2 linked regions of the Lepisosteus oculatus genome follow. The protein of the gene in region 1 interacts with the protein of each later gene in a biochemical or structural test. Links are inferred from orthologs where the notes say so. Each region holds a gene or a part of one and is shown on either strand. Other genes may lie near its edges.

Evidence for each region.
Region 2: the proteins of arhgef16 (region 1) and tax1bp3 form a complex in vitro, tested with the Homo sapiens proteins (2 studies listed by BioGRID and IntAct, with this or other methods). The link is inferred for Lepisosteus oculatus from reciprocal best matches to the Homo sapiens genes ARHGEF16 and TAX1BP3.

Annotation. Positions count from the first base shown.
Region 1 is NC_090720.1:5,495,095-5,505,795, forward strand, and holds the start of arhgef16 (rho guanine nucleotide exchange factor 16), read left to right. Parts: upstream 1-6,011; 5' UTR 6,012-6,276; intron 6,277-7,569; 5' UTR 7,570-7,685; coding exon 7,686-8,300; intron 8,301-10,017; coding exon 10,018-10,069; intron 10,070-10,701. Other genes in the region: espn (espin), read left to right, coding at 133-153, 742-889. UniProt on the Homo sapiens protein: Guanyl-nucleotide exchange factor of the RHOG GTPase stimulating the exchange of RHOG-associated GDP for GTP. May play a role in chemotactic cell migration by mediating the activation of RAC1 by EPHA2.
Region 2 is NC_090724.1:5,141,902-5,152,494, forward strand, and holds the start of tax1bp3 (tax1-binding protein 3), read right to left. Parts: upstream 4,417-10,593; 5' UTR 4,237-4,416; coding exon 4,198-4,236; intron 1-4,197. Other genes in the region: calcium and integrin-binding family member 3, read left to right, coding at 5,397-5,447, 6,723-6,757, 7,588-7,699, 8,249-8,396, 10,022-10,217. UniProt on the Homo sapiens protein: May regulate a number of protein-protein interactions by competing for PDZ domain binding sites. Binds CTNNB1 and may thereby act as an inhibitor of the Wnt signaling pathway. Competes with LIN7A for KCNJ4 binding, and thereby promotes KCNJ4 internalization.

The DNA.
Region 1 (10,701 bases):
TATCAGACGTAATGTTGTAACTTTTTTAATTTCTCAACTCCAAGAAGGCAAAGGATGGCTGTGTGTACAAACTCACAAACTCACCTGCTGTCCGTCATTGTGCTGATATCTCTTTGTGCTTCTTTCCTCTGGGTCACACAGGGAGCAAAAACGGTAAGACATTCTACCCATTCCCCAGACACTGTCCTTAAACTGCCACTTTATGAAATTGATTAGCTAATTCCTTGAGTTCAATCAATGGCGACTCAAACAGGTATGTTTCAGTCTGGCCTGGTTGAACATGTGACCTCATGCATGACTTTAAAAGAAGTCTGTGCTCACAGTAGAAACAGCGTAAGGCAGGACATTTAAGAGGAGGAAGTGCTTCTTTATACACAAGGTTTCAGGAGTGTGTTGGTGTCTTCTATCACAATAAATCAATTTTGATCTGATCAATTGGCTATTAGCAGACAAACGAGATAGATGGGCTGACCACTGTCCACTCTCATGTAGGCTTTCTTAATACAATAATAAACACAAAAACCTCACATTTTTTGGCTATACAAGAAAACTTTTTTTTTTTAGTTGGTAAAACGACATCTATATAATCTCTTCACTTTATCTGGTAGGTACTATAATGCAGTTTCTTAAACTAGAAGCTCTGACTTATTTTCATGTCAGAGAATAGCAGAAGCTGGTGGTGGCTATTGGCTGGAAGGTAGTTTGCTTCCACTAACATCAACTCTGGTCTCGTGGCAACAGAAAAGAGGAAGAAAGGATGAAAAAGGAGAAGGAAGACGAGGAGAAGAGCGAGCTGGAAAAGCTAAGGACCCTCGGCTACGACGAGACCAAGCTGGCGCCATGGCAACGGCAGATCATCTTAAAGAAAGGAGACATTGCAAAACAGTAAAGGCCTGCCTCTACTCTGACACTGCAAACCTCCCCCCCTGTCTTCACCAAACCTCCCTGTCTCCTGCTCTGAGGGGAGAACCCTCTTTTTGCCCCCTGGCCAGGGTCTGTTAGCTTGTAAACCTGGACTCTGAGAGTCTGTGGAGGGTATACATGCCTTGTGCTAGTGAGCACAGATGCACAGTACAAGACAGAAATGGTCATAGGCCCAGCATTGGATTAGCAGCCTCCATATTGTGCACCAACTTTGCACTCTACAGTCTCTTACATTGTTTAATAAGAATCATAGGAAGGTTCTACAGTGAGTACTTGCCTTTAGGTAGCATCCTGCTTCAAGACCTTTTTAGAAAAAACACTTCCTGTTAATCAAAGTACCGGCATGTTTACCGACGTGTAGGTTTTCCATTATAACCAGTTTCCAAGAAATGGAAATGCAAATAATAATTTTCAACCACTCCTCTGTGTTGTACGAATTGAAGCATTTTATCAAGAGAAGCAAATCTTTTAAAAAAAACTGCTGCGTAAGAAGCAAGCACTATCCTGCGGGGAAACGACTTGATTGGGTAGAGGCTAACGTGAGAGCATCTGTGCAGGTATAGGGCCTGGCTCCTGTCTTCCTATTTTGAGAAATACAGTGATGACCATATTATATGCACCCCATACTTTCTGAATATTAAGCTCTTACGGTGAAACCCAGATGTGCATGCAGTTTTAACAATTTAAAGAACTTTTGTATAAGAAACAATGGTGTATGACATGTTGTTCCTTACAGTACAGTGCCAGTATTATAGGGAGCAACACAACAGAAAAGACAGTTTGCAGTCTAGAATCCTTGCTTTTCCACAGGGAAAATGCAATGGTACAGCACTTGGCTGTACTGCCAAATTAACTGTATCATGAAGTGCAGTGAAGGTATCTCCTGATGAAAACTTATACCCCTTAAACTTGGCTATTGACCAACAGTTAAGAAACATCATATCAGTGTGCAAATCAGTCGTCTTTTAAAGCCACAAGAATTGCTGTCCTGTGTAGCAGCTCCGTTTCCAGAGGATGAGAAAGCTGGCTGACCCCTCAGCAGTTAAAGAGGTACTGAGTAAAAAGGTGAAATTGTTAATTCTTTATACTATATGCAGTTTGAACAGCAAAAAGAAACTGGAGCTTTTAAGACCAATAGTAAAAAAATAGCAGGCATAATTTAAATATCTCTGCATAAAATATTGTGTATTGTATGGATTGATAAAAAATTGAATTATGGTTTACTGAAAACTCAAATGCAACATTCTAGTTTATTATCTTTATAATCACACAAAGCAAAGCACAAAGCAAGAACACAAAGCAAAATGAAGGTGTAATTTCTAAGTTAATGACAAATTGGCCCCAACCTTATTGAATGACAGCAGAAGGCTTTATATTAATTAAAACCTCTTTCTTAGATAACAGACTATATAATCTAACATATATCGCATACAGTACGGTTGAGCAAATTCAGCAGCTGCACTGAACATCTGTATTCTTTCAAAACTCAGTTGAACAATTTCATTCTGTGGTGTCTGTCCCTATCTGACCGTTCAACAAAGTAATCTAATTTTAAATGAGCATAAGAACTGTTAACAGTAATACACCCTGTAAGCTTACATGTTAACCGTGCACCAAATTTTAATTCACTCCATGCTTTGGTTTCATAGATAATGGTTGTAGCACATACTTGATCTGTATGGGACCAAACAGAGGGGACAGATATGTCATAGAATATGGCTGGTGTACCTCACCCTTGGTTACAAAATGATTACAAAAGAGGTACCTGGGCAGCTGCACAGAAATGTGGTTCCATTTCGAAAGTTTTCCCAGTAACTGCCTGCAAGCTTTTCTTATTGCGTAGACCACTAGACTGTGCAAATTGAAACTTTAAACTATTTGCTGTAGGCATGAATCTGCCCACACCTCACGGGCCCAGAGAACTGCTGTATGAGTGTGTCTGAATGTTGTATATATGGGCTGATTTCCTGTGAACTGGCTGTAGCGCAGTAGGATAAATCAATGTGCTTTGGATGTAAATTTTTTGCAAATTAAAGATTATATAAATATATATAAAAACGTGCATGAAATAAAGGAAAATGTTTCCAAGTTTGGTAAATGTCTGGGAACATTTATCTCACCACATTGGATGCCATATTGATGTTGAAATATATATATATAAAGACGTTGTAGAACACCATTGCCATTAGTATTACTATATAGACTTGAACCCTAAATTCCCTGTGATGTTTCTTGATTCCGTTGTTACTTTTGTCAGCCTTGCTTATGTAGCATTTTGGTATATTTGTGTAAAAAACATTAAAGAAAAGAAAAAGGAGTTTTCTGACTGTCTCTTGCAATTCAATAAATTCAGAATCATACTTGTTATGCCTGGGAGATTCTGTAAAGAAAGAAGTTTTAAGCCGTTTGAATCAACTCAAGGCTTTGAATTTCTAGCCAGGAAGCAGACACCAAGTACACAAAGGTATGTATCAATACACACCAGAACTGTGGCTAAGCAGCCACGACGAATTATGCCATTCATAGTGATCGGAACCTTAAGAGCAAACATGGAATTGATGTCAAGTCAGTAAGGGTTTCCCTCTCCTCTCCACACTGTATTCCACTTTAGATGGCACCTTTGGCATGATTATGTCTTTGACCATGTTAATTACTAGTCAACAGCAAATCAAACTACATACTACATTCGAGTTCTTGATACTGGAGTATGGAAGTTTGTTGAGCTGTGTACTGTATTATTGTGCAGCCTCTCGGCTTCTTTTGAGTCCCAGTGCATCAGTTCTACACTCAAGACTGATTCAAGTAAGGTATATACTGTACGTAATTGGCAGATACTGTAAACTGCCTAATTTGTGCTTTATTAAAAAACTGGCTATTCATTTTGAAGTAGTAGTATATTTGCCATGTGAAAAGTGACACAGGCGTACAATATGGTTGTGCCTTTTGCACTGCATCTTTTTAAAACACATTTTTTAAACATGGTTTAAAAACACATTTGAAAGAGATAAAGCACATACTGTACACACAGAAGACTGGACATAAACTCTGAATTTTCATTTTTATTGCTTAATACTGAACTTGTACATGCAATCAAATGAACAGCAATGAGTGGCCGCAGCTTAAGTGTTTAAATGCATTGTTCTCTTTCACATCTAGGAAAAGACACTTTGTGTGTGAAGTATGTCTGCTTACTGGCCAGAGGCAGTTTAAACTGTTTGGATGTGCAGTGCGATACCTCTGCGAATTGTCTATAGCAGCCTTCCTTGTGCATGCACGAAATTGTAAGATTCTGTTTCCAAGAAATACCGCAGTTGCAATTAAAAGTTTTCTCAAAACAACTCAGAACAAGGAATCTTTAGATAAGGACAGTGATGTGGGGACAGTTTTACTCAAACAGAACTTCTAAACGCATTAATCCTGCTTTTGCTGATAAATTGTATCCAAAGAACATTTTAGTTGGCATGTTTTTTGCAAAATTGTGTTGAAGCCAATTTTTTGTGTACGCTTATGGAAAGACTTTAGGAATGGAAATGAGTCCAAGATGCCTGAGTGATACAGAGTTTCACCTATTAAATTTCTTCAAAACACCAAACTCAACATGCTATTGGTCCAAAGTAACAACTAGACAAGAAAACAATCATCAGACATGGGCATTTGGGCCTGTTTTTCTTTATACCATATGTTCCTGATTAAAACTAAAATAGTATTTGGCTAAAGTAATCTGAATACAGTTTATTTTTCTCAGTTTTGTTCAAAACTCCTCTCCTTCATTATTCACTAAGCTACACCTTAAACCATTCAATAGGTTAAACCTTTAGGACCCTTTTTCTCTTAACAGGCCAGTCACACACTGTCTATTAGTGTTGAGGCACACATTAGCATAATAAAGTTCAACAAAAAAGTAATGATAACTTCCACTTTCGGTGTAAGATTTTCCTTTATGCTGAAACCAGGACTTGAGTGATAATGAAGACTGTCACAAGTGTTGTAATGCACTCAATTTCAGCCTCATTCTGCTGTGTATATTTTTGTACATTATTTTTGTCACAGTTAAAACGAGATGTTGGGATAAACCTGAGTTCTTTTTTTAATATTAAGATTAGTTTTTTCACCTATCAAACAGGTTTGTACAGGTACAAAATGAGTTCTCCTTAACACCAATTTCAAAATACAATTCAACAAGGTCAACTATGTTTATTCAATTATTATTATACTGAAGTCAGCTTCTTCAATCTACCGTCTTTACAAGACACACTGGGACGGGAGATACTGTACAGCCTACCCAAGTCTCGACTTTTCTCTCAGTATGTCTATACAGAGACCAAACAACAGAGGGCGCGCATTCTTTAATAAAGCAAAACTGAAGTTAACTTCGTATACTGTATACGCTCACAAACGAATGAGCACGCCACTCATAAAATATCACATAAGCTTCGTTAAATATTGTTTATAGTTATTGGGAACGTGTATTAACGTGTATTCTAGTATATAGAAAGTAATATTACCTACATGACAAGTTGTCACTGCTATACCTACAACATCGAGGGCGATTTAGGAATTATACAGTATACACCTTTTTAGATACAGTACTAAAAGTGTAATACATGCACCCAATTTTTAGGATTGCAATTTAATATAACGTATGTCAGTTACAAACGGTGAACCAGGTATCACATCAACCACTCATGCCTATAATATGAACTATTTGTGAATCATATCAACATCACCATTTAGAAAGACTGGGGTTCAGCTTGATGGTCAAGATTCCGGTACAGAACCGACTTGCGTTCAGCCTAGCAAAACTGCGAATAAATCGCACTTGCCTTTATGAACCTAGTGCTAAATCCACAGATCCACATGCAGGAAACGGAACCACATGGTTTCACAAAATAAACCCCTCTTGGAAAATAATGTATTGTTTTAGAAGTCAATTTTGACTTCTAAAGTCAACCGTGGTTCAAGAATCCCAGATAAATCTAACACCGCCTGTGCCTCAAAAGGACGTTAATTCGCTGAATAATATCAGTCAAGTGCCTTACTGAGATCCAGTAGATAAGATACTTTGCGTGCACTTGCAAAAATCAAGGCTGCGCCCTTTTAGCTTGCAAACTGTTTACTCTGTGACAGGACACTGGCTAGGGGTAATATTTACAGTAACAGGTAGGCAGGTCGGCCGAGGCACACCTGGAGTGACGTCACCGGAGCAGTCTGACGGACAGTCGGGGAAGCAGATGGGAAGTTGGCGAGGCACGAAAGCAGCGCCGACTCGCCTTGTTTTTAATGAAAACACAAACTTTTGGACGCATCGCAAAAGGAGGCGAGACCCGCTGGACCGAGTTGCATAGAAAAAAGGTAAATAAACTCGACATCCGACAAACTGCAAATGACGGTTAAACGATTGACAGTTTACAGATCAAATCTTTTTTGTTTGTGTGTGTTTCGGGGTTTTTTCTGCCCTACAAAAACTTGTGACTTCTGGTGTCGTTTTCCGATGTTATTGGCGTGCAGAGTAAAGTGCGTTTTATTTACGGAGAAAAAAAATACGCCGCTTTGCAGAAAGATTAACGCAAGTAAAGACTGAGAGAATGGTTAATTAACGCGGTTCACCTGGAGTCAATCTGCAGGATATTTTTGTTCGTGGAAAAGCGAAAGCTCTCCTCTCGTGTGAAGACGTGTAGCACAGTGGGAAAGGTGGGATTACACTAGGTGTAGCAGACTGGAAAAACTCGACGTCCGTGTCCAAGATCACGGGGGGGACACACCTAGGGGATCATGTCTTTAGTGATGTCAATCGTCTGTTTTTATTTCTCTCTTTGCTGTCATTTCTTAATTAAAATACTATTTGCCATTTAATTACAATGGCTTGATTTTTTTTCTCGGGTATTAAACCGAAGGCATAACAAGACCAGTACAAAGTTCAGGGCACACTTGTATATTTACATACAGTATACCTGATAGGGCAGCTGAAAAGATCGGACTGGTTTCTAATCATTTTATCACCATTTGATTTCTAACTTGGATTCTAGGTCTGATGTCAAATGATGTCTGACACTTGTCCCGAAAACGTTTGTTTTAATACTAGTATTTCTGGTTCCTTGCACAGTCTGTGCGTGTGGTTTTATTCCTGATTGTTGCTGTCCCTGTTCAGCAGGACAGAGGAGGGGGGTATTCACCGGTGGGTGCGGGGGAGCAGACGGTGTCCAGGTCAGTGGGAGGGAGTTAGTAACCATCACGAGCTCCTCGCGATGACTGGGAAACCCCCCGCGTGGCAGCCGGTGTCGAGATAGTCATGCGAAGGGAGCGCAAAGTCTGCTGAATAAATCCGACTTTGTTAGTGCTCTCTCGTTTTTTAGATGCTTAAAAAGAATATACAGTGTTCTGAAACGCGTACTCCCTCGTTTTATCTATTCTTCTTAGTTTTTAGTCCCTTTGGAACGGGATGTTTGCATATGTCATGTAGCAGAAAGGAATGAGTGCTTTTCCTTGGTTTATCTGTATTTGGCTTCGTTCCTCTGAGGTTTTTTTTTATAATAGAGGACTTTTTGTTTTTATTTTGTCCCAGTTCCTAATATCAGGTAACTTTCACTGTTCAGAATGCAGCCCAGAATGTGTCTCTTACACATATTTGATCTTTCCCCCCCAAAGACACGGGACCTGACCTGCGTGTTTTTGTCTCTGCGCGCAGTATGACCAGCAGTATATTGTTCGCTTCTGGCTGAGAGACCCAGAGGTACAGCAAGCCGTGTGCCGAGTCTGGCAGGATGTATAGAAAATCAGGGCAGGGGCCGAGCAGCGGGATGTCTCAGCGCCGGTCTGATGGCTTCGTGGGAGATCAGGCTCCCCTCTTGTTGGAGAACCAGTTCGCCTCCGATCTGCAGCTGGACAGCCAATCCGGACCTCTGGTGAAGAGGGTCAGCCAGTCCCGGGGCTCTCCCCCACAACCCCACGTGACCGGCGCCCCCTCTGCTCAGGAGGAGAAGGCGGCAAAGGCCCAGATTGTTCTGAGCACCGAAAGCAAGGCCGCCCTGAAGCTGGGCACCCAGCAGATCATCCCCAAGAACCTGGCCGTGGCCAGCCGGACCAAGGTGCGCTACCACACCACCGTCGTCACCCTGCCAGTGCCCCTGGAGCCCGCGCAGGACAAGCGGGCCTCTGCCCCGGCTCTGGAGGTGTCCTGGGACGGCCACGAGAGTGACGAGGAGGACTGCACGCTGGCGAGGAACCGGCGGAACCAGTCGTACCGGGCCGCCGTGAAGAGCCTGGACAACGGCGCCCTGCCGCTGCCCGCCACGCTGTCCGCCCTCAAGCCCGTCTCGGAGGAGAAAGAGCCCGTCTCCCAGCCCCCGCGAAGCAGCGGCCGAAGCCCTGGCCGCAAGGTGAGGCCTGAGAATGGTTTCCCCGTTGCTGCGTGTGTATTTCCTGTCAAGAAAAAAAAAATGTGTGTTGGACGAAAAATCCTTTTTTTTTAATCAGATTTCTTTACACCGCCAAGTCCAGCCTGTCATGAAACGTCCGCAGCTGTATTCTGAAGCTGCTACTGCTCTGAACCTACAAAGTGAGAGCTTGCGGATACCCCATAGCTGTGTGAGCTGGCATAGCAAACCACAACCAAAAATCACAGTTGCGGGAAAAAAAACTGGTTTCTTGCAGCCTGTTGTGGCATGTTTCTTTCTGTGCACAGGGTAAAAGCACTGCGTTGTTTTAAATATAGAAACAAAGGACTGTACTTGTGTGCAGGACAGAGGACTGACACCTTCTAAAGAAAGCTCTCGTTCATGGGGTTTTGTATCTCTTGGATGGTCTATTTTGTAGCAGAGGTGGAGCAAACTGTCTCCTCTTAGGAGCTGATAAGGACCTAGGGTATGAATTCCTTCTCATAATGATGTATTTATTTCCTAGTTTGTCATGGACACATGTAGAAACAGGTCATGAACGATGCAACCCCTTGCAGGCGAATGTGGAGGTGCTGTCCTCCTCTGTTTTTGTCAGAGTCTCTGCCTTGGTGTGTCACCCAAACTGTGCTAGCTGGAGGACTCCGATCACAAGAGCTTTGCGTTGCGCAATTTTGCGTTGTGGTGTGGGAGAGCAAGGAGGCAAAGGTTATGGCTTGGAGAAATAAAGCAATTGTACATTAAGAAATTCAGCAGTGTAACATTGCTGTTAGGTTACTGGTGACTCTTTAGTCCTTAGTTTTTGTCAGTTGCAATGCAAGACTTGGGCATTTTAAGCTAGTCCTGTTTGTTCATCCCTGGAGTGAGAGACACTGGCCCATGGATCCCATCAGAGGCTGTGGCACATGAGGTTAGACACTGTGCTGTAAGAGCTGGATCTGACGTTAAGAAATGTTATATTTCTATATTCCACTTTCGACATGCTCGGCCCCTCTATCTTAAATGTCCTGGTTGAGCTCAGCACTTCAGAAATGAATGAAGTGGGTCTTCTCAGTGTGAACAAGTTTGAATCCCTTGGAATTATACAAATGAAAGCCATTTTTGTCCTTAACAATATTTCAAGCCATTTTTGAGTAATTCTTACTGTCAGGACCTATTCCAGGGCTCCCAAGTGCTTAAATGTGTTTTGCTGTGTGCACATACTGTATTTCAAAGGAAAGGAATTAAAGTAGATGCCTGGCTTCATCAGTTAAAACTCCAAGATGTGGTTTTTGAAAATTTGAAGCCCTAAAAGCAGCACAAGCCTCTCAGTCAGCCTTCGTATTCTCCCTCTTGCTTGCAATAAGTCACTGTTACTATGGGAGGAGGAGACGGCGAAAATTTTAAATAGAATGAGAATACAGTGATGATGCTTTATTTCCAGGACGGTTTCCTTCCTGTTTTATTCTGATGCCGATTAAAGCTTACTATTCTCACATCCCCACTTCTATAAACTGAGAGAGCGGCTAGTTTTTTTGAGAGGGGGTGGGGGGGTGGGGGGATTAGGAAGTGGAAATAAACTCCACATCCTAAAAAAATGGATGCATCTCCAAAAAGAAGAGGCATAATGCATGCTACTTACTCATAGCTGGGCTGTGGCCATGCCATGGAGCCTCTTGTATACCTGACTGGTAAACTGGTGCTGCTGCTGTCTTTCATGCAGAGAACCCTGGGACGGAAGAGGAACACGAAGCACAGCGGCTCTTTCAAAGATGGTACGTGACCCTTGTGTTTTAGGGGTGGGGTGTGGGCATCATGCGGGTGGGCTGTCCTTGGAAAGATGAGAGAACTTTAGTTAACTTGTAAAACACCAAATGGTGTTTGACATGTTGGTACTAATTGAGGGTTCCATAACCATTTTCTGTATTCTGTGGTTTTACCATGATTTGGTGAAAGTTTTGGAGTATAAAGGGAGATCTCCTTCTTCTCATAAACACTCCACTTTCATAATAAGAACACCAAGTAAGAGTTCCACAATTGAAGGGCTACTATGTTTCTAGTTTGGGTTCTTTCAGCGATTATTTTCCTGTTAATTTGAAGTGAAGTTAGAACAGGGGTACCAGTTCACAGTAAATCGTGGAACAGCTGTTGCCTTGGAGTTTAATTTTTGAAACTGGGTTTTGTGTTAGTGAGAAGTTGACCAAGTAAATCGCTCTGCTTTGCCTGTGTGACGCCTTTTCACTATCTAGTGAATTGGACTCTTGCAGATGTTCTGTGTACGGCCAGGGTTGAGCACCTCAGTGGTTCTGATTGGCTGTCAGAAACCAGATATCACTCAGTTTACGACCAATCCGCTCGCCACGCCCCAAGCAGACCCTGTCTGTAGAACTTTCACACCAATGATGAT
Region 2 (10,593 bases), on another chromosome or scaffold:
CACACTCCACCTTAGCTCGCCAAACTGAAATGATTAAGGAAATTAAACCGTAAAGCATGATCCCGACTCTCTAATGTTATGAGAGATTTCTTCCCCACATAAGGAGATGGACAGATGAGACATTAAGTCAGCGGTAAATAGCACCCATGAAGTATTAAGAAAATACCCTAAATTCTCTAGGTTGCTTGGAATTCGAGCCCTGCAGGCTTTCACCCACTCGGCACTCAACAAATAGCTTTTACATGCAAGACTGTCAGACCTTTGAGTCATTTACCCTCCAACTGCTCAAATACCGGAGGAAAAAATAAGCTCTTCGGCAACAGAGACAGATGCAGTCTCTTGGCAGCATCTGTGGCATTTCAGTACACAAAGCAGGCCTATATGTGATAATCAAGTCCATATAAACATCTGGCATTCTGTTCATCAGTAACTATGCCAATTATGTTGAACTTGTTGATTTGGTTCCTTTTATTATTGTCTGTCTCGCTCTCTGATAACATCTGGCACCCAAAAGGCAGAAGAAGAACTTCTTCAGTTGTCTTTATCTGTAACTCATCAACCCCTTAGATAACCTCGGACAGGCGGGTAGTTCAAGTAGTTTGAGACTTTTTGACAAGCTGAGAGCTACTAGACTCTTCACACTAGTTTAGGATTAAAATCCGTAATGTGCTTTGTTTGTTTGCTCGATGTGACGAACAAAGCTCTTTTAATAGCAAAATAATGCAAGAAGCAGATGCTGTGTGGCTGACAGTTATAAGGACAGTAGAAAAAGATTGAGCCAGAGACTAGAAGAGCTGGGCTCTATTCTTTGTTTTTATATTAACTGTTGTTAAAATGTATTGTTCTGACTGAGAAGAAATAAAACTCTTTACTGAAATACCATATATCATCACATAACTTGACAATCTTCACACTAGTTATGTTAGCATCTAATGGAATGATGAGTCTGTATCTATCTCTGTGGATAAACTAAGAAACATCAATTCACAAAAAGCGGATTAACTAAATATTGAAAATGCTTTTTTCACTCCAATGCAATATTTAAATAATCTATACAAGGGCACTAAAACCAGTTCTGGGACTATGACGTGTTAATTTAACTTCTTATCAGTTATCTCACATTCCTCTCCTTATGTGTAATATCAAGGACTCGGCAATCTGCAGTGAGGCTATTGGCTATTTAAAGAACGCCATCATTAGCTTATCCTGTTGAGAATGTTTTGCAATGTCCTGGCATCTTCATTAATATAAAGAAATAACATGCAGCATGTCCTATAGCAAATCTACCCAAAAGTCTTATTTTCAAGTCCTATGAAAGCTAACACTATCTTAATACATCAAGTAATCTAATTCAAGGTTCTTGATAGAACTGAACACTTTGCAGACTTGTTAGTTGCATTTTCAGCATTTTAAAAGTTGTCTGAATACATATGAAAACTGGGAAACACAATAAAACACATGAGTACCCTCATCATATTACGATGGTCTGAAGTCAACTTCACTGCATGTTCAGAGGGAACCCAGTCAATGCACTGCAGCAGAAAGTGTAATATCTGTATTTACTAATCAGACTGGGATGTGCAAACATGAAAGTTCTTTCTTCTAAGTGTGACCTGGAATGTTAGCACTCACATCTGGCTTTCTTTAATATGTTATTGTACTTGCAATCAAAGCTAAAATACTTTTCCAGGAAGTTACTCTTAAGATTCTATTGTTATAAAATACTCCTTTTAATTAAATCAATATAAATGCATGTGAGGAAGCTTATAAAAATAATAACAGCTTCAAACACTACAGTGTCCCAGATTGTGGATGAAAAAAAAAATTTTTCAATATCTCAGTTTGAGGACAGCACAGTGGTACAATGGTTAGGTTTGCTACCTCACAATGCTAACCGCTGGGGACCCGGATTCAATTCCTGGGGGTACTAACTACATGGAGTTTATAACACATGTTCTTGCATGGGTTTCCACTTTGTGCTCCGGTTTCCTCCCACAGTCCAAAGACATACTGGTACAGTAGGTCTACTGGCTTCTGTAAAATTGGCCCTGCTCTGAGTGTGTGTGCCCTGAAATGGAGCCATCCAGGTGAACAGTATCTCACCTTGTGCCAGTTGCTTGCCAGGGTAACTTCCAGCTCTCCCTACAACCATGTTCATCTTAAATGGATGAGAAAATGGAAGGATGGATCTCAGTTTGAAAAACTTAAATTCAGATTCTTTGTAAGGACCTCGGGGTGCTCACTTGTAACTCACACAGCAAAAGCACAGAATATGAAGAGGTCTTCCTATATCTTTTCTATTCTGCATGCCTTTTCTCCTCTAATATTTACTAAAAATCGCATGTTTCATCGTGTGAGCACGTGCTAATACAAACAACATCCGTATGTAATATCTGCCCCCACTGACCCTGGATAACAGCATGTCCTGTGGCGTCAGTCACACACCCCAGCAGTTTGCCAGCTCATGTACTGACATGGTGAACAGGATGAATCTCTCCGTGTATTAGCAATACTGTTGTTTAAATAGTGTGTTGCCAAGGTGACACGAGGTTCAAGGCTTCTTAGATCTTACTATAAAAAATACCATACATAAAGCCTTCTACAGCACCTACAGTGCTCTTGGTTCTTCATTCCTTCAATATTTAAAAACCCAAAGCTGGAACCTTGAATAGAAACAAATTTGTCAGTTTCTCCATATCAGTCAATTTGTTTAGATGAGAAAAGCTAGAAAATGCTTTCTTAACTCTCCACTTAGTTACTGTGTGTCTGTGTGTGTACAAAGTGGTCTCCCCTTCACATTATAAGGGTGCTTTTTACGATTGGTCTCTTTAATAACGAGTAAGCAAACACAGTTTAATCCACAGTACAGTTTGTGCTAACAGTGTCATACGTTCATTTTGATGAAACAGCTGGACATATGTTGAATGAATAATACGAAAAAGGTAATTGATACAGATGTTGCTGTTACAGTTCTTCATTGAAGTTCGTGAAATACGCTGACCAGAATTGCTGCTAAATTAATACATCGAGGAATTTCTCAGAGCACCTCTTTGCCGACAGGTGTGTCAGTAACAACTAACAAATTGTTAGGCGGTCAAATGTTTTTTGAGCAATATATAGAATTACATATATAGAATAATTCACTGAATTGTTGGTTAACAGTTAACATGCACTCAGCAGTGGGAAAAAAATACATTTTCTGCTACAATTGCTATACTGTCTGTAAGTCTTTTCCACATCTGGTGAAAAGACGATTAAAACGAATAGGGAATTGTCTGTAACCTACAAGTACTCATATCTATATGAGGATTTTTCATTCAAACAGGTGTAACAAATTAACACGGGTAAAAATAGCCGCACGCCATTAAAAATGTATTTCTTGATACTGTAGTTCCGTGAAACCTGACGAGCAAACTATGATAAAAACTCACTCATACACCCACTTCGTAAACACGCGGGGAAACCATTTACCGTAAGTAGTTGTAGTTGAAAAAAATCGGATCAATTACTTAAAACGAATGCACATCTGTTATAACCACAAAGCAAATAGCCTTAATTGTATTATTAATTTATAATTGTATTGTATAGGTTTTGCATTCTATAAAAGTTTTAATTCTTTCAAATTCACAAACTTTTCATACAGAATACAGTGCAGGTTATCCGTATGTATGTAGTAGTACACGGGTGCGGATGGTACCCTTTAAAATTTAAAGGAACCGTGATTTCTCAAAAAGAGCCGAAGCAAAGGAGACAGAATTTTTTTTCAGAAATGTTCTACTAAGTAAAAATCAATAACGCATCAAACACATACTACTAATGATGTGAATAAAATTACGACGACAAAAACTCACTTTCTTTTACAAAAAATAAAATTTCTCATTCAAGTTTGCATTGAACTAGTCATTTACACCAATGTTAGTTTTTACAACTCGTGCGCGTAAAAACCATGGATGTTATTTTTTATGTTAAAAGTAGATTACTTTAGTCACGCAACAATACATTTAAAATTTTTTCGTACTCGCACCCCAACGTAACAGCTCTACAAAGGGATTTCTGCGTTTCCCCCCGTGGCTTCAACTTGATACGCAAGACCGAGGCTTTGTAAGGCCTACAAAATATTCCCTTCAAATAGCTCCATAGCCGCTATGGATGATGCACGGAAAAGCAAAAGAAAGTTTTCTTGTTAGAGAAACTTACCACTACCGCTGTAACTGGCTGTCCTGGAATAAAAGACATTGTAAACCAAATACAATAAAAATCGCCTCACTCCGTAAAAAAGGCACAGCCCTCAGCCGAACAAGGGATAAATACAATTAAAGCACCACTTTCCTTATTCATGAGCAGACTTTGTGAATAATTCATGACTCGGCTCCAGGTTGGGCGTATAAAGATGAGGTAATGCTCCCTACTGTTGGTGTTGGAAATTAAGTCGATCGTCCCGATTTATACAGACTCTTAATAAAAAACTAAGCACTACCGTGAAACTTCACAGTAAAGTGCTGTTGATTTAACTGGAATTTAAACTGCAGTCTTGTTTATATTAATGGAAATGTCCTTGCAATTTTAAAGGACGCCAATGTATTAAAAAATCTTTGCTCAATTTCACAATTCTGGAAGATCCCTCCTCATGTTTATTTGGAGTTTGAAGTTACAAAATTGCACAAATAAACGTTTAGTGTTCAAACGGTACAAGGAATTAATGTATTCGTCAAGTTTTGTTAAGAAGCACGTTTATTTTTCTTATGCATTCAAAGTAATTCTGATGTTATTCAGCTGCAGACCTTTTAAATCCCTTCCTTCTGGGTCTCTTTTTCTTTTTATTTGTACAAGGTACATTAAAAAAACCTGCCCTCTGGCCCATCACGCACCCTAAGGATGTCACCCAGTTTATTGAACAGGGACAGCGCACAGCTCTTAAACAGCACTAGAGTTAGTTAAATGACATCTGTACATCTGGGATGGACACAACATGACACAAACACGATACAAGTATACAAGTACTGCTTGCTGTTGTGGACAAACGTCAGCACACCAGGTTGACGAGACCTGATGCACTGTCTGTAAAGACCATTTAGAGGCTGTAACGTGAGACAGGGGTGAGTGCGAGGTAGGAACATCACGCTGGGGAGCACTTGGCGTTGATATGAGTCTGAATCATGCTGGACGCCAGCCCTAGTTCATTTTAAAGGGGCTTCTATTCAGATCAGAGAAATCGATGAAATGCTCCTATTATGATGGTGAACTAAAGGGGCGCGTGGCAAAGGATACCTGATCTCCCACTGTTTCAGGGCTCCTTTTGTTCCAGTATTTTCATATCTGAAATATCCAGAGGTCTTATAAAAGGCTGTTGGGTGGAACACTGCAATGGCACTGAGGCACGGGGAGTTTGCACAAGGATGGGGAACAAACAGACCATCTTTACAACACAGCAGCTAGATGCCTATCAGGTTGGTTCTAATTTATTGTCTCTCAGCGGGATGTTCTTTGAACTCTCATGATTATTCTTATTCAGGGCTGCACTTTGCAGATTGGAGCAACTTCTCTTTCTGTACACTTTACCTGTGAACCCACTTTCAAAGACACAATGTTCTACGGTGTGAATCTTTCAAATAAGTCGTGAGTGAGCACTTTCTGAAACCACTGTAAATATCTGTTTTGTGCCAACAGTTATTACTATCAGCAAAGTATAGCAACCTGCTCCACCCAGATGCAATACAATTGCATTGGATCTTTTTCTAACTGGGTTGTGAAGGCTGAGCATTTCATATAAGTTTAAAAACAAGCAGTAAGGATGACACCTGTCTTTCTGGGATTGATTATTTCTGTGCACTGCGCCTTTCACTTTTGAATGGACCTGCTTGTATTAGCAAGGGATGTGTGGAGTGTGGAGTAGCAGTCCTCATTTCTAAATTACAAAGCTGTATGTTCTAGCCAGCAATCCCTCCATTTGTAAATGCCAGTGGTTTGAAAGGAAAGTTTGCAGCCTCGGTTAAAGAATTGACTGCTCATTCGAAGTAAATGGCCATTCTTGTTCACCACAGTCCGAAGGGTTAGCGCCAGTGTCAAGCAAGGCCGGATTATGGCAGGGTCTTTGTTCCATTAACAAAGAGGGTTGCTGAAGAGGAAATATGATTAATTTCTTCCTCTGTTAGCTCTGCAGCATGACTGTGCCGAAAGGCTGCTGGTACATATTCATCCAGCATTATTTACTGATGAGCTGGTTTGGTATCAGTCCAGAGAAGAGCAACTAGATACATTTTGGGTCTTAAGGAGATGTTGTACACTGACAAGCTGAAAGAACTGAACCTCTTTAGTCTTAAACAGAGAAGAGTATGAGGTGACCTGATACAAGTATTCAAAATTCTGACAAAGATAACCCAGCAGAGTTCTTCAGAACAACATTATTCGGGAAATTCTGGCTTATTTCAAGGAATGGCAGGATGATATAAATTAACTGTTAATTAAATGTTCTTGAATAGCGTTCTGTAAGTAACTGTTTTTATGTTATTATGTAGAAAGGTAATAAGAAATAAACAACTTTTCATCCGTTGAGTCTTCAAGTGTCTTGTATTGTGGTTTTGCCTTATAATGGAGATGTAATAAAAAATGCTAATGTCACATACATGAAGCATGCGTATCACATAAGTGAAGTTATGCCAATATGATGAACAGACAAGCATTCTCTATAGTTCAAATAGTTTTTATCTTTGTTGTTTTTCTAGGACTGTACATTTTTCACCAGAAAAGAAATCCTGAGGTAAGAAAAATGGCTCACCTTTGATAATAAACAAGGTTAATGAAGTAAATCCTTTTTGTTCATGTGGAATGTGACACAGCGAAGTTGTGAGGCATTTCTGTTAAGAGAACAAAATACAGAAAAAAACATTTTGCAATTTCATTGAGAGAAAAAAATAAACTCTTTCAAAATCTTTGTTCAAAACAACCACAAGGACAAATTTTATTTGAACATAGTTTATATTTACCTTTCAGTAAAAGAAAGACAATGAAATATAGTCTGTCTGTCAATTCAGGAGCTAAAGACATTAGGTTGAACCATTGACCTGCATGCAGAACATTATTTTAAATTAATTTCTTTTACATTAGAATCCTTTGCACAAAGTTGATTTAGCTCATCAGTAAAAATTCAGTTCTCTGGGTTTGATGTTCAATGACATTTGCAGAATTAAATGGATTTTGATTGTCGTCCTAAATCCTGAACAGAACTGAATGGCTTCCAAGCCGTTCTTCTAAATATAGTGCTTGTGTAGTCCATTTAGTTTAGACTAAATGGTGTCCTGCCCAAATTTCCCCCTGGCCCTTACCAATCATGGCCTCCTAATAATCCCCATTTCTGAACTGGCTTCATCACTCTGCTCTCCTCCCCACTGAGAGCTGATGGGTGTTGAGAGTACTGGCGCACTTTGGCTGCCATCACATCATCCGGGTGGGGGCTACACACTGGGGGTGATGGAGGGGACTCCCCATTACCTGTAAGGTGCTTTGAGTGGAGTGTCTAGACAGGCACTATGTAAGTCTAAGGATATTATGATTATGATGTATCCTTGTGTCATGTACTAATGTCCCTAGGCTGTTTCATCGCTACCGGGACCTGGCACCACAGCTTGTTCCACTCGACTACACCAGCAACCCAGATGTCAAGATACCATACGAGCTGATTGGCAGCATGCCAGAGTTGAAGGTACGCCCACCGATTGTGCTGGTGAAGGATGTCCATGCCATGCTCCTGGGGACACAATCAATTATTCATCGCCTACTAATTGACAGGAGCCTTGGAGAGGTTATGAGTAACTTGATCCCTGTACACCTGAAGAAAGTTATATTGCACAGCTTGTGCTCCTGGCAATAGCAGCTATTGTCTGGCACTTCACACACAGTACAGGGCTGCTCTTGTGGGCATTTGCACCGTGGAAAAGATCAGCATTATTAGTGAGCAAATACACCCTTAATCATCTGCCAAAATCCCTTTGCAGATAGAGAAACGTTTGCAAAAATATTAGACCAATAGTTTGCTAAAAACATTTTTGGTAGAACCTGTAATAGATAAGTTGTGTGCAGGTGAGCATGGGAGGTATGCTTTGTCTCTGTTGTTCTGGTAAAAGCAAACAAAACTAATCAATACATTTCTCTACAGGACTGGTCATTAAAAAAGGATGTGCAGTACTTCAGATGGTTGTGAGTGATTCAGGGTGGTAGTTAATTAAACAGATGTCTTTTTTGCAAATTGCAGGACAACCCTTTCCGCCAGAGAATAGCTGAGGTTTTCTCTGAAGACGGAGAGGGAAATATGACCCTAGATGACTTCCTGGACATGTTCTCTGTACTGAGTGAAATGGCACCAAGGGATCTGAAAGCATATTATGCTTTTAAAATTTATGGTTAGTCCTGGTCCATTGCAATTTGTTTGTAAAAGATATATACAACATGAGTTAGGGGGAGTAGATCTCAGTAGAAGACAAATACATATGTTTATGGGCTTTTATTTTATATACTTTTCCAAATGTGGTCTACCTTTCATTTGAAGAAACTTTTATTTTGCAGATATCACCTCTACAGTAGCAATCAAACTTTCATTTCTACCCAACTTGACTGATAAGGGCTCATCCGATTTTTCTCACGTTAATTGTCTCCAAGCGTGATTCATGTAAGTTATAGACGTTTTCCAGTCAAGAATAGGATAAAGAGCTGTCCAAGTTAAATGCTTTAACTTTAGTATTGCCGTGCTTACAAATGTGATTTGTGGAAGAGAAGCCATTTTTCCAATTATACAAACTCTTCAGCATACCCAACGATTTTAAAATTTCCTTAGCATGCTAGGAAGTAGATAACTACTTCCAAGATAGACCACTCGGTGGTGCCCCCCACTGCCTATAGCGCAACAAAGCAAAAGGAGCCAAAGATACTCAGAGCTTTAACTGAGACAACCTGAAAAGAACAGACAATAGAAAGCCATTCAGGAATAATTGATGAGCCCGTTATATGAAAGGCTCGGTTCTGAAAGGCTGCTGTGTGCTGGTGTGCCAGCGTTTTCTAATTAAAACACGCTGACAGATCACGCTGTTTTACAGCACGGGGCCATGGTCATGGGTCAAAGAAAGTTTTCATGTATTATTCAGACGAGTTAAAAGAAAAGAGAGCAGGGCCGCAGTAGCTAGGCTTACAAATGAGCTACAATGCCATGGCAGTGAATTACTGATTTTGTCACTTAATTTACGAGGAGTATCAAGTTTATTATTTATTGGCTTAGAAGACGCCCTCGTGTAGAGAGACTTCATATGTCTAATATATGATAACATGCAAGGACTTTAAAATAAATCGAATTATAAAACAATTTACGATGTGTGACAGTGATGACGTCGAGGAAAAGTCTGCTGCTGGTGAATTTTCAGGCATAACATTTCCAGCTTGCTAGTTTCTTTGAAACACACCTGGTTAGTGCGTCCAGACAAAGACAAAACTGTTTAATGTCAAATGGCGATGGACTAATAGAGACCTGAAAGTGAGCGGTTCTTCTTGCTGGACAGATGTAGCTGCAGTGATTTGTGTCCATCTGTAGCTATATCCATCCACGTCCCAACTGCTATATCCAATTCAGGGACCCGGCAAGGCAGGACACACCCTGGAGGGGACGCCAGTCCATTGCAAGAGAGACACAGACACGCACACGTGAGGAGAACTTGCAAACTCCACACAGACAGTACCCCAGGTCTAGAATTGAACCCAGGGCCCCAGCACTAACCACTGTGCCACCATTCCACCCCATACACTTAAAGTACTAGAGCAGCCTTCACTCAGTCTAAGTGATTTAACTCTGGCAAACACCTCCAGGTGATATTCCTGGAGGTTCAAGCTTCATGTTAGACATGAAGCCAGAGTGTCCAGTTCAGCAAGGGACCACCAGCGCAAGCTGAATAACATTTGCTCGATGTCATGGTTTTTTTCTCCCTGGGGAGTCACGCCAGATTTCTCCCTCCACCCCCCCTTCCCCCTCCTCTGCTCTCAGACTTCAATAACGATGACTTCATCTGCAAGTCCGACCTGGAGAAAACGCTGAACAAGCTCACCCGCAACGAGCTCACCCCGGAGGAGGTGCGGCTGGTGTGCGAGAAGGTCATCGACGAGGCCGACCTGGACAACGACGGGCGTCTGTCCCTGGAGGACTTCCAGCACATGATCGTGCGCGCCCCAGATTTCCTCAGGTCAGCAGCAACCCCTCCCCTGGAAACAAGACAAACCTGACGGCCTGGAATAAAATACTGCTGCCTGCTATTGCCTTCCGCATGATGCTCCAGATGCCAGATTTGCCATTTATACAGCCATAGATGTTGTCCTGGACTCTCAGGCTAACAGCAAGCACCATCACACCATGCCCTTTTTATTACAATGCCTCTTAGTGTTGTCGTCTCTCTGTTTGGTTAATAGTCTTTTAGAAAGTACTTTACCAACTTTAACTCTGGAAAGGGTGCATCTCTGATAAGCTTATCAAGTGCACTTGTGCTTATTTATTAAAAGAGCAGCCTACTGCTAGTCTGGAGCAAAAAGTTTTTTTTTCACTTGTCGAAATGATTGCAGCTG